Arabidopsis thaliana: one gene and its partner. The protein of the gene in region 1 interacts with the protein of each later gene in a biochemical or structural test. Each region holds a gene or a part of one and is shown on either strand. Other genes may lie near its edges.

Region 1 (4,043 bases):
TCTCTCTAAGACTCTTATTGCTATGTCACATATATATAAGGCTATGCCATAAACGACTACTCAAAAATATATCCCGTGCTTAGGCCGGATTCGCGGGTGACGATGCACCAAGAGCGGTTTTTCCGAGCATTGTAGGCCGTCCTCGCCACACGGGTGTGATGGTAGGGATGGGACAAAAGGATGCTTATGTTGGAGACGAGGCTCAATCAAAACGTGGTATCTTGACTCTGAAGTACCCAATTGAGCATGGAATTGTTAATAATTGGGATGACATGGAGAAGATTTGGCATCACACTTTCTACAATGAGCTTCGTGTTGCCCCTGAAGAACATCCGGTTCTCTTGACCGAAGCTCCTCTCAATCCGAAAGCTAACCGTGAGAAGATGACTCAGATCATGTTTGAGACATTCAATACTCCTGCTATGTATGTTGCCATTCAAGCTGTTCTCTCACTCTATGCCAGTGGCCGTACAACTGGTCAGTAACACACTTATATTTGTGTTGATCCAATCTATAACCAGTTTTTTTTCATGCTTGATTTTAAATAATATGAACTATTTTAAGGACTATTTGGTTATGCTTTTATGGACAACCCTAATTGGTTCTTTTGCAAATTATTGATTAGGTATTGTTTTGGACTCTGGAGATGGTGTGAGCCACACGGTACCAATCTACGAGGGTTACGCTCTCCCACACGCAATCCTACGTCTTGACCTAGCAGGTCGTGACCTCACGGACCACCTCATGAAAATCCTCACAGAGCGTGGATACTCCTTCACCACAACTGCTGAACGTGAAATTGTTAGAGACATGAAAGAGAAGCTCTCTTACATTGCTCTAGACTTCGAGCAAGAGCTAGAGACTTCCAAAACAAGCTCGTCCGTTGAGAAAAGCTTCGAGCTTCCTGATGGACAAGTGATAACCATTGGAGCAGAGAGGTTCCGGTGTCCGGAAGTTCTGTTCCAGCCGTCAATGATCGGAATGGAAAATCCAGGAATCCATGAAACCACATATAACTCTATCATGAAATGTGATGTGGATATTAGGAAAGACTTGTATGGTAACATTGTGCTAAGTGGTGGAACCACAATGTTTGGAGGGATTGGTGATAGAATGAGCAAAGAGATTACGGCTTTGGCTCCAAGTAGTATGAAGATTAAGGTCGTGGCTCCACCGGAGAGGAAGTACAGTGTATGGATCGGTGGCTCTATATTGGCTTCACTCAGCACTTTCCAGCAGGTGAACACATTAATATACATTTTTATTATTATTTGATCATGTATAATATAACATTCATAAGTTTGTTTTGATATAAATATTGGTATGTGTTTGAAAACTTGACAGATGTGGATTGCGAAAGCAGAGTACGATGAATCTGGACCCTCAATAGTGCATAGGAAATGCTTCTAATCACAGTTCCTAAGATCACCAAACGAAGACGGAAGTAAAAGTAAAAGACAGAAGGTTAAAAACATTGAGATTACTACCAAATGCCACATTTTTCCATTATATTTTCTAATCTCTCTTTTATCCTTTTTTTTTTGAATAGCCTCTCTATGTTAATTTTTCAACTAAGCATACTTTTCTTTAAACAATTTCCACTCCCAATGTACTATATATAAGCGACTAATTTCAATTATTATATTTTCTATTTTAAACTTAATTTATTTGTTACTCAAAAGAGATTTTGTGATGGTTAAACAATTGTGACTAATATACTTCAAAGACATCCGTATCAAACACAAAACAAGCTCCATAATGTTGATCTAGTACAAACAATTGTGACATATAAATGCATATTGTCGAAACTCACTAAATCTTAGATTACTCGGTTAAATGGATGTGGTCTAATAAGTGTCAATAAACACAACACAAAATGTTAAACTGATGGATTAGTGATGAGAAGATGAGTTTAAATGTTTCATTTAGTAATAAAACGTGTTTATTATGTTTGTTGGTAAAGAAAAGAAGAAACGAATTGTTGATGGTTAACTAAATTTTAATTTCTTATTCGATCTCGGTTTAACCGAACCGAATCGTAAACCCAGAAACAGAAGCTGCGACGGAGAATCCATTTCTCGAGATCGTCGCCGTTAAAATCTGCGATCTCATTGCTCATTGGTGAAGACAAATCCCTAATTCGTATGTCAGATTCTGTGGCCGGCGATTTCCCTCCCGATCCACTTCTCGCCTCCGGAGCCTTCATCTCCTCCGCCGGTGACGGAACCCTAGACAGTAGTGCGAAACGACGACCGATTCAGGGAGGAATCGGAATTTCTGGTTCGGGAGAGAGCGTACGCATCGGGATGGCTAACGGCACTGATCAGGTGAATCATCAGACGGAATCGAAGTCGCGGAAGCGTGCGGCGCCTGGAGATAATTGGTTGCCTCCTGGTTGGAGAGTTGAAGATAAGATTCGAACTTCCGGTGCCACAGCTGGTTCGGTGGATAAGGTAAAGAATCTCAGCTTGACTCTGCTTTTCTCTATGAAGTTTTGAGCTGCGTTGTTGCTTGAAGACTACAAATTGAGGATTCTTTGATTGCTGTTGTTTTGTTCTCTTTGGTTTAAAAATCTTGCCTTTAAAGTAGTGACAAGTGTAATGATGTAGTAAAATGATGTGGTTGGTTCTGCTTAAGCATTAATGAGTTTGTTTAGATTATGTTAATGGTGTATTGGGACTTGAATCATACACTTTATCAGTGTGATTAGTGTTACTTTGATTTATCAGGTGGATTTAGATGGTTTGGTTTGGTATATATTGTGATTGAAGAGATGAAGTTTTGGTGTTGTTATACTCGATGCTAATATGGGTGTAGATATTGATGTGTAGACTTGTGACATTTTCTTATCTGGTTTTGCAGTACTATTACGAACCAAATACAGGACGTAAGTTTCGGTCCAGGACTGAGGTGCTGTACTACTTGGAACATGGAACTTCTAAAAGAGGCACCAAGAAAGCTGAGAATACATATTTCAATCCAGACGTGAGTTTACATGCTTAAAGATTAAACCTTTCACCCTGGTTTCAAACCTGTGATGTGTATTGAATTTTGCATTTGCAGCATTTTGAAGGCCAAGGAAGCAATAGAGTCACCAGAACCGCTACAGTGCCTCCACCTCCGCCACCGCCATTGGACTTTGATTTTAAGAATCCACCAGACAAGGTAAGCTGGTCTATGGCAAACGCAGGAGAAGAAGGTTGGATACCTAATATTGGGGACGTCAAGGTTCAAGACTCAGTGAGACGAGATTGGAGCACTGCGTTTACCTTTATCACAAGCCGAAACCCTAGTAAAGTGTCGGCTTGAAGACTATGATGACCTGGTGGCGATTTTTGGGTTGTTGCATCTATGGTAAGATACACAGATATGTTAGGGTTACTTAATTGGATAATTCTTGTTTAGTCTTCATTCATCAATCATCAAGTTATGTGTACTATAATTTTTGTAGCGGTTTTTGGAAGAATATGATAAGGGGATATGCATCTTTGTGTTTGCTTTTGGAACGTGATAACCATTCGACTTTTGACTGATGAAATTGAAGACACTGTCGTAGTAACAAAGCTATTCTTCTTAGACATTTTGATACTGAACTATTCTGTGTTCCAAAGTCTTTTACTTTGTGTTTAGGAAAAGATCTTGTTCTTTGTGAAACCAGTGTCGTAATTCAAGAACTAATGCTTGACATGTCTCACCTGCTCAGGTTATCTAAATCTAATGGATAAGAAGAAACATCAACAATACTGCACTGATACAAGACAAGAAGCGTCTGTAGTCCAACGGTTAGGATAATTGCCTTCCAAGCAATAGACCCGGGTTCGACTCCCGGCAGACGCAATTATATTTTTCCCAAACATAATTTTAGATTTTGTTAACCAAACAATTTGTGGGGTTCGAATGTAACTGGTTGTAGCACATTTAATATCTGCAATAAATTATCAAAAAGGCCATTGGAACTCTCCCAACCCATCGTCTAATTTAGTAATTTTTGGTCTTGTAACCTTCTAGGTGTACCAGAGGCTTCCTTATTAGTCTTGTATCCC
Region 2 (6,669 bases), 2.7 Mb from region 1:
GAGGAGGTTTCCTTTAAGAGGAAGACGCGAACGGAGTGAGAGATAGCCACCGAGGCGCTTAAAATAAGAAAAATGGAAAACGATGATGACTTCTCTTAAATTCCCTTAATTACCCCTATTCTCACTCCATATTTACTCCTAAACCGGGTTTGCTTTACTAACTAAAACCCCCTAAGATTAGCTCTTGTAATGGTCAAATTGTCAATAATACCCCACTGCATACTTTTACCCAAATGTTTGGTGCCTGCCCCATTCATTCTTGTCGGCGTCTCGTGTTCATGTTTTAGTCCATTAGATGCAAAACCGATAAAACTAAATATTTACTATTTACAAGAATAGACATCAACAAATCCGATGTCGTCCAGCGGTTAGGATATCTGGCTTTCACCCAGGAGACCCGGGTTCGATTCCCGGCATCGGAGCTTTTTGCTTCTTTTTTAAACCCTACTCAAGTTTTTAATATTCTGTGAAACTATTGAGCCTAATCATATAAGTTAACAAATCCCAAATCCAAAACATAAGATCCCATAAGTTCGTGAGAAATAGCTCAATGCCAAAATTGCAGACTACAAAGACTATAAACGTACACAAGTCATAATATTACCGCAACAGCAAAATCAGAGGGCCAATTGTTTTCATCACATTGAGAGCTAATCACCATTAACTGTCATGTTTTCAGGGTTTTAAGTGAGTTCTTTAACTTACAAAAACTTCCGAGCCCTCTAATAATTAAATCCTCCCAGCCAAAAGTAACCGATCATGTTCCGGAAAAAAAAAAAAAAAACACAGAAGTGGTTTCAAGGCCTGGCTTATTAATGTGTCCTAACTGTTCAGGGAAGACAGCATTCCTCCCGAACTAGGCAGGACCACTTCCCAACCTGGACCCTTCACTGGAAAAGCTTCAGCAGCTTGTGTCTCTCCCGGTGCAGTAATTGTCAGGTCACTCCGGTCAAGTAACCTGTCAAGATCCGCATCGCTTATATCGGTTTGTATCAACTTATCTTCAGCAGTTTCATCTTCCTTAAGCAACGCCAGTATGTCCTCTTCCTGTGTGTTAGTTTGGTTCAAGCTGTCAATAGGAGATTTTGTTGATAATAAGTGTATCTAAAAAGGATTGAGCTTTAAGAGAAGTTAAAACCTCTAAAGGTGTTGAAGACTTGGCACGTTCTTGATGAAACTGCCCTTGGCCAATAACCACATGTTCCAGCTTGAGCTTACTGTACGCTCGTTTCAGAACCCGGGTCTGAGCAAATGTCATAAACCAATCTCATGAGGCAACAATCTCAATGGTTTGAAGTTAAGATTGATTGATATGAACAACAAAGAGTTTTACCTCTATCGACTGAGCCGTGGAAAGCCTATAAACATGAACAGGTTTCGTCTGCCCGATTCTGTGGCATCTGTCCATGGCTTGCAAGTCCATTTGAGGGTTCTGGAGATCAGACAAAACACAGTTGGAGACAACACGAAAGAGAAAGATTTTCCTTCAAAGAAAATAAATTAATTGATTTGATTACCCAGTCGCTGTCATAGAGGATGCATGTATCAGCAGCAGTAAGATTGATTCCGAGTCCTCCAGCTCTGGTACTCAGGAGAAATATACTACAGCTGCTCTTCTCATCACTGAAATCTTTAATCTGTTTCAAGGCAAAGAGAGAGAGAGAGAGACCTTATGGTTATAATATTTGGTCAGAATATTGCTTAAAAGCAACGCAAAAGCAGCATAAGCACAGGTGAAACCTGTCTTCTCCTTTCATCCAGCTTCACACTGCCATCGATTCTGCAAACCTCAAACCCCTTCTCACTGAAGTAGTAATCCATAATGTCCAAAAGTTTCGTCCATTGGGAGAAGATAAGGACCTGGTCATCAGCAAATGGATCAGAGAAGTTCTCAAAGGGAAATGAGCTACGAGCCATGGGTTTGTGAAACATACTTTGTGATTATTGGCAAATAACCGAACAAGTAATCTCTCCAATAAGCGGAATTTACCACACTGTCCAACAATCTCTTCAACAGGAGGGTAGAGATCTGTCACGAAATGAAACAATTAGACAGAACAGTATGACAGAAGTTTTTCTTACGTTTCTTAAAAGAAACTGACATACATGAACCATCTATTTGCCCCTGGAGAAGGTCAGGATGGTTGCAGTTCTTTCGAAGTTGAATGACCAGGTTGTTAAGCTTTCCCTTCCAGCCTTGACCTGAAGTATAGGGGATGAACAAATCAATGCAGAAAATGACATAATTAAACAAAGTATTAAAAAAAAAAAATAGATCATGTACCTCGGATGGCATTCTCTCCAAGATGTGCTTCCAACGTGTTATTCACCAGATGTTCCTGGAACTTTTTCTGATGATCAGTCATTGTAGCATACATTATAATCTCCTTTTTCCGTGGAAGTGAGAGCTCAACATCACATTTCATTCTTCGAAGGATGAATGGTCGTAGTATACCATGAAGTTTGGAAACAACCTAGACAAGATGTACCCTTAGCATAAGACATAAATACAATCAAAGAAATAAAGGAAAATTGATATAATTGTACATACTTGAGCTCTTCTTTTCTCTTCTTCTTCCTTGGTTGCTTCGTTTTTGTTCTTTTCAGAAAAATCAAACCTGTAGAGACTCATCTATCAGTTAGATACTAAGAAAGGAATAAATGTCAAAAAGCTGCCACCAGTGTTAACAAAAAAAAAAAAAAAAAGAAGACTAGTTAGGGATAATAGTAGAAAAGGACCATGTTTGTACCATGATTCAAATTCATCATGTGATGTAAAGATGTCAGGCAGAATAAAATTTAACAAAGACCAAAGCTCAGAAAGATTATTTTGCAGAGGTGTTCCTGTCAGCAGAAGTTTGTTATCCATCTTCAAGTGTTTTAGTTCCCTCAACAATTTACACTTGTGGTTTTTCAACCTGTGGCCCTATAATATACAAGAACAAAATTATCAGTTAGAGAGATCATCTTGATCTTCAAAGCCTAGTACATTGACCAATCTCGGAATTTACCTCATCAATCACAACATATTTCCATGGATAGTGCCGCAGAATTCTTTTAGCATCATTCATGGCAACCTCATAAGAAGTAATAACTATAGGGAACTTGGGACCAACAGTTTTAGGCATGTGCTTCCTCCTGAGCTCATCCCTTTGATTTTTATCCCCATGGTAGATGATTGCATTGATGGAAGGCGTGAACCTAATGGAAAAGGTAAGAAAACTTTCAACAGAAACCCCAAAGCATTGGATCTATACAAACACATATGGCCATGAGAGTACCTAGCAATCTCATTGAACCAATTTGAAAGTGTAGACAGTGGAGCAATGACTAGATATGGACCATCCAACCCATTCCCTTTCAGATGTGATAAGAAACCGATCGTTTGAATCGTCTTTCCAAGTCCCATTTGATCAGCTAATATTCCATTCAAACCATTCTGCCACAATGATATTAGCCATTTGACACCTTTAAGCTGATAAGACTTTAACTGTCCACCAGTGAGAAGAGGACAAAGTTCATTCTGCAGTTTGATGACTGTTTCTTCCTCTGTCAGATCTGAGTTGATGGTCTCACCATCTTCTTTAGATCTTGAAATCATAGCAGCAACCGCTCTCTTAGCCTTAGTCTGATTGAAGAAAAAAGCATCCAAGTAAGTTACTTTCTCAAACAAGCAGAAAAAACAATATATACAAGATCATGCATAGTAGTTGAAAATTATATAAATGGAACCAACATTGTTGTACTGAGAAGCAGCCTTTCTTTTGCGTCCACGACCAGTCTTCTCGGGCTCAGCTTTTTGGCTCTCACTTTCTATCCCATTCTAGCAAAACAAATTTCACCCACAAGTTGTTCAAACTAAGAATAATGACTCCCATTCGAAAAGTGAGAAACCACAAAGAAGAAAGAAATAAAGAAGATTACAATTGTGATATCCTCCATTTTCTCAAGGAGAAACTCAGAGTAGAGCTGAGTTTGCGTCAAGAGCTCATCAAGTTTAGTAAACTGAGTTTCATTCAGATTAGGAGCAACAGCAGATCCAGCATTGTTAGCTTTCTCTTCATCTTCCCGAAGTTTGAGCAGCTGCTCTTCCTCCTGAGCCATGGCTTCAGAAATAAGAGAAGAATCTCCATTTTTGGCTAGAAGTATCTCTTCCTCTACAACAGTAACACTTTTCTCCTCACAGTTTTCCTTCACATTCAGAAAAAAAGGACCAAAAAGGACCCATTTACAGAACACCCCAGATTTAAAGAAACAAAGAGTAACACACAAAGTTTCACAAAGCAACCACACTACGAAGGCAAAATAGTAGAACATAGAACAAACCTCTTCGTTGAGAACAGAAGTGGGTGAATCACCAGACGCATCTTTCTCCGTTTTCCCGTCGCTGACCATTTCCGAAGCCCTAAGAGTCCAAAAATCCAAAATCGAGAAATGATAAATCAACAGTGAGACCAATAGTCAGAGAATATAATCCAAAAACACGACAAACAAAATTACGCAGAGAGGGAACCAAAAACCACCAAGAACAGCGAGCGATTTCGAGAGCGTTAAGGACCTAGAAAATCGCCGGAAATAACGAAATGAAAAGGAAAGGTGGAGGGACTTACGGAATAACTTTTCTGGAGCGCAGACTAACCATCGAAGGAGAAGGAAATTCCGGTAAGAAAAACCCAAACGGCGGGAGAAATCACCGAGCCAAACAGTCGTCTCCGTCGCTTTTGAGAGCAAATTCAAAACCGAGGGTATATTGAAAAAACACACTCTCATATTTACGCCTATTTTCTTATTTTTTATTAAATTGGGAGTAGCGCCCATGGGCGGGAAGCTTGAAATGACAGGTTTACCCCTAACCCTTATTTACGATTTTGGTCATATGATCATCCTATTATTAAACTAAAAAACATTTAATGGAATGGGCATTATTAAATCTGCTGGATTTGTCGACACAATTAGTAATAACCTTTGTAGTGAATTGAAGCTTCAAACTATATGAGTAGTACAAAATTGCCAATTTCAAATGCAAAAATTGTGTCAAGAATATCTCAGTTGCACGAGTGTGTTGATAATGTATCTCAAAAAGTTATGATATCGGCTAAAAACGAATAACAATATTTTTAATAAAAAGCTAAATCATTTTTCGATCTGCAAATTGGCCGGAGGAAGAAAATGATCAACGGAGAGACCCCAAACATTAAAATCAACTTCTTCTATCCTCCACTTCTCCGTCATCTGTCTCCGATGATTCGCCGACGCTTCACCGTACCGGAAAACCGTGACCGATGTTTTCCCGCCGTGAGCGATGTTCACATTGTCAACGTATCGGTAATCATCCATCACCGACTCAGCACTAGTCTCCCAGAAGACATCTTCGTCTTCCTTGGTCCTCATTCTCAAAAGCCGCGAATCTTCGAACTGAATCAAAAGTCCCGATCTTTGACTAAAATAACCCCATATCGTGTGATGAATTATCTCAAAATTCGGACCGCTTTGAGCTTCTCGAACCGCCGGACTCGTCTCCAGTTTCAAGATAAAGCAATCCTCACCGTTGATTATCTTCTCTCCGATACACGTTGCGTCAAGAAACAGATTCGCCGTCGAACGAGGATCTAACCCCTGCTCAAACAATAAATAAACCACCGGTTCAACATTTTGAGAACCGGACATTACATCAAAAAAAAAATCAATAACCGGATTGGACCTGTAAAAACCGGCGGAGAGGTCTTGGCGTTCCGGTAGACGCCGGAGTTTGCTGGTTAGAGGAATGTCGCCATGAAAGCCGACCGTTGCTTCCACATATCACTTTGCAACCGGAGACGACGAGCTCCAAACACCAAAGATCTGGATCCTTTTGCCATAAAACGAAACCACCCATTTCGTCGTTGCTCTTTAGATTAACGCCCGAATCATCTCCTTGATGAAACTCCGACGCCGTCATCTTCACTTGTCCCGTGACGCACATGCTGTTCACGGCGTTTAACGCCTGTGGTCCTCCCGTCGCTGCTATGTACTGCTGTACAATGTATTTCGCCGTTGAAGCTTGCTGCAATCGTAATTCATAAGCAAAAAAACAATGAAACTGAAGTTGATGACTCTGTGTACGATGAATAATGTAATGCAGACTTGCAGAGTACAACACATGGATTAACAACTTTATGTTGAATACTTACGAAGCAGGGTAATGACTTTTTTGGGTTTTGATCATAAAAGAAAAAAAGAAAAAAAAAAGAGGAATCATATTTTCAACATCTTTGTTATGTTTTCATAAGGATTGATTTTGAATGACTTACAATGGAGCAATCTTTGACGGGCTTATGAACAGAGTGACCGACTTGAACCTGGAGAGGTATAAGAGGCGAGCCAACGAGGTAGAGAAGGAACCGGAGCTCGTTGATACGAGCGGCGATAAGCGGTTGCGACCATTTATCAGACGTTTGAGCTTTCATCCACGTCATCATATTTTGCCACCTAAGTGCAACGTTGTTGCCCATACCGGAAAACATCTCCTCCGGTATCGGAACTTCCAACACCGTCTCCAGACCATCGTCTTTGTCTATGTTCGGACACAGCTTCCTCATACACTTCCCACTCCTTCTATTCTTTCTGTTCCTCTGTTTCTCTTTTGTTCTATTGGTGATCGATTGTATGAAACCCACAAATGGTTCGAAG

What was found.
Region 2: the proteins of MBD6 (region 1) and CHR1 form a complex in vitro, tested with the Arabidopsis thaliana proteins (one study listed by BioGRID).

Annotation. Positions count from the first base shown.
Region 1 is NC_003076.8:23,950,177-23,954,219, forward strand, and holds MBD6 (methyl-CPG-binding domain 6), read left to right. Parts: upstream 1-1,955; 5' UTR 1,956-2,144; coding exon 2,145-2,453; intron 2,454-2,862; coding exon 2,863-2,985; intron 2,986-3,063; coding exon 3,064-3,309; 3' UTR 3,310-3,531; downstream 3,532-4,043. Other genes in the region: ACT4 (actin 4), read left to right, coding at 84-477, 626-1,239, 1,345-1,410. UniProt on the Arabidopsis thaliana protein: Transcriptional regulator that binds CpG, CpNpN and CpNpG (N is A, T, or C) islands in promoters regardless the DNA methylation status. Plays probably a role in gene silencing. May associate with histone deacetylase proteins (HDAC).
Region 2 is NC_003076.8:26,647,023-26,653,691, reverse strand, and holds CHR1 (chromatin remodeling 1), read right to left. Parts: upstream 4,796-6,669; 5' UTR 4,643-4,795; coding exon 4,611-4,642; intron 4,406-4,610; coding exon 4,327-4,405; intron 4,192-4,326; coding exon 3,925-4,191; intron 3,824-3,924; coding exon 3,737-3,823; intron 3,629-3,736; coding exon 3,282-3,628; intron 3,202-3,281; coding exon 3,012-3,201; intron 2,927-3,011; coding exon 2,751-2,926; intron 2,619-2,750; coding exon 2,552-2,618; intron 2,475-2,551; coding exon 2,285-2,474; intron 2,203-2,284; coding exon 2,107-2,202; intron 2,030-2,106; coding exon 1,935-2,029; intron 1,861-1,934; coding exon 1,741-1,860; intron 1,638-1,740; coding exon 1,518-1,637; intron 1,433-1,517; coding exon 1,334-1,432; intron 1,244-1,333; coding exon 1,139-1,243; intron 1,048-1,138; coding exon 823-1,047; 3' UTR 501-822; downstream 1-500. Other genes in the region: AT5G66740 (spindle assembly abnormal protein (DUF620)), read right to left, coding at 5,134-5,616, 5,702-6,043, 6,291-6,578. UniProt on the Arabidopsis thaliana protein: ATP-dependent DNA helicase that plays a role in formation, organization, stability and heritability of heterochromatin and thus regulates several physiological traits.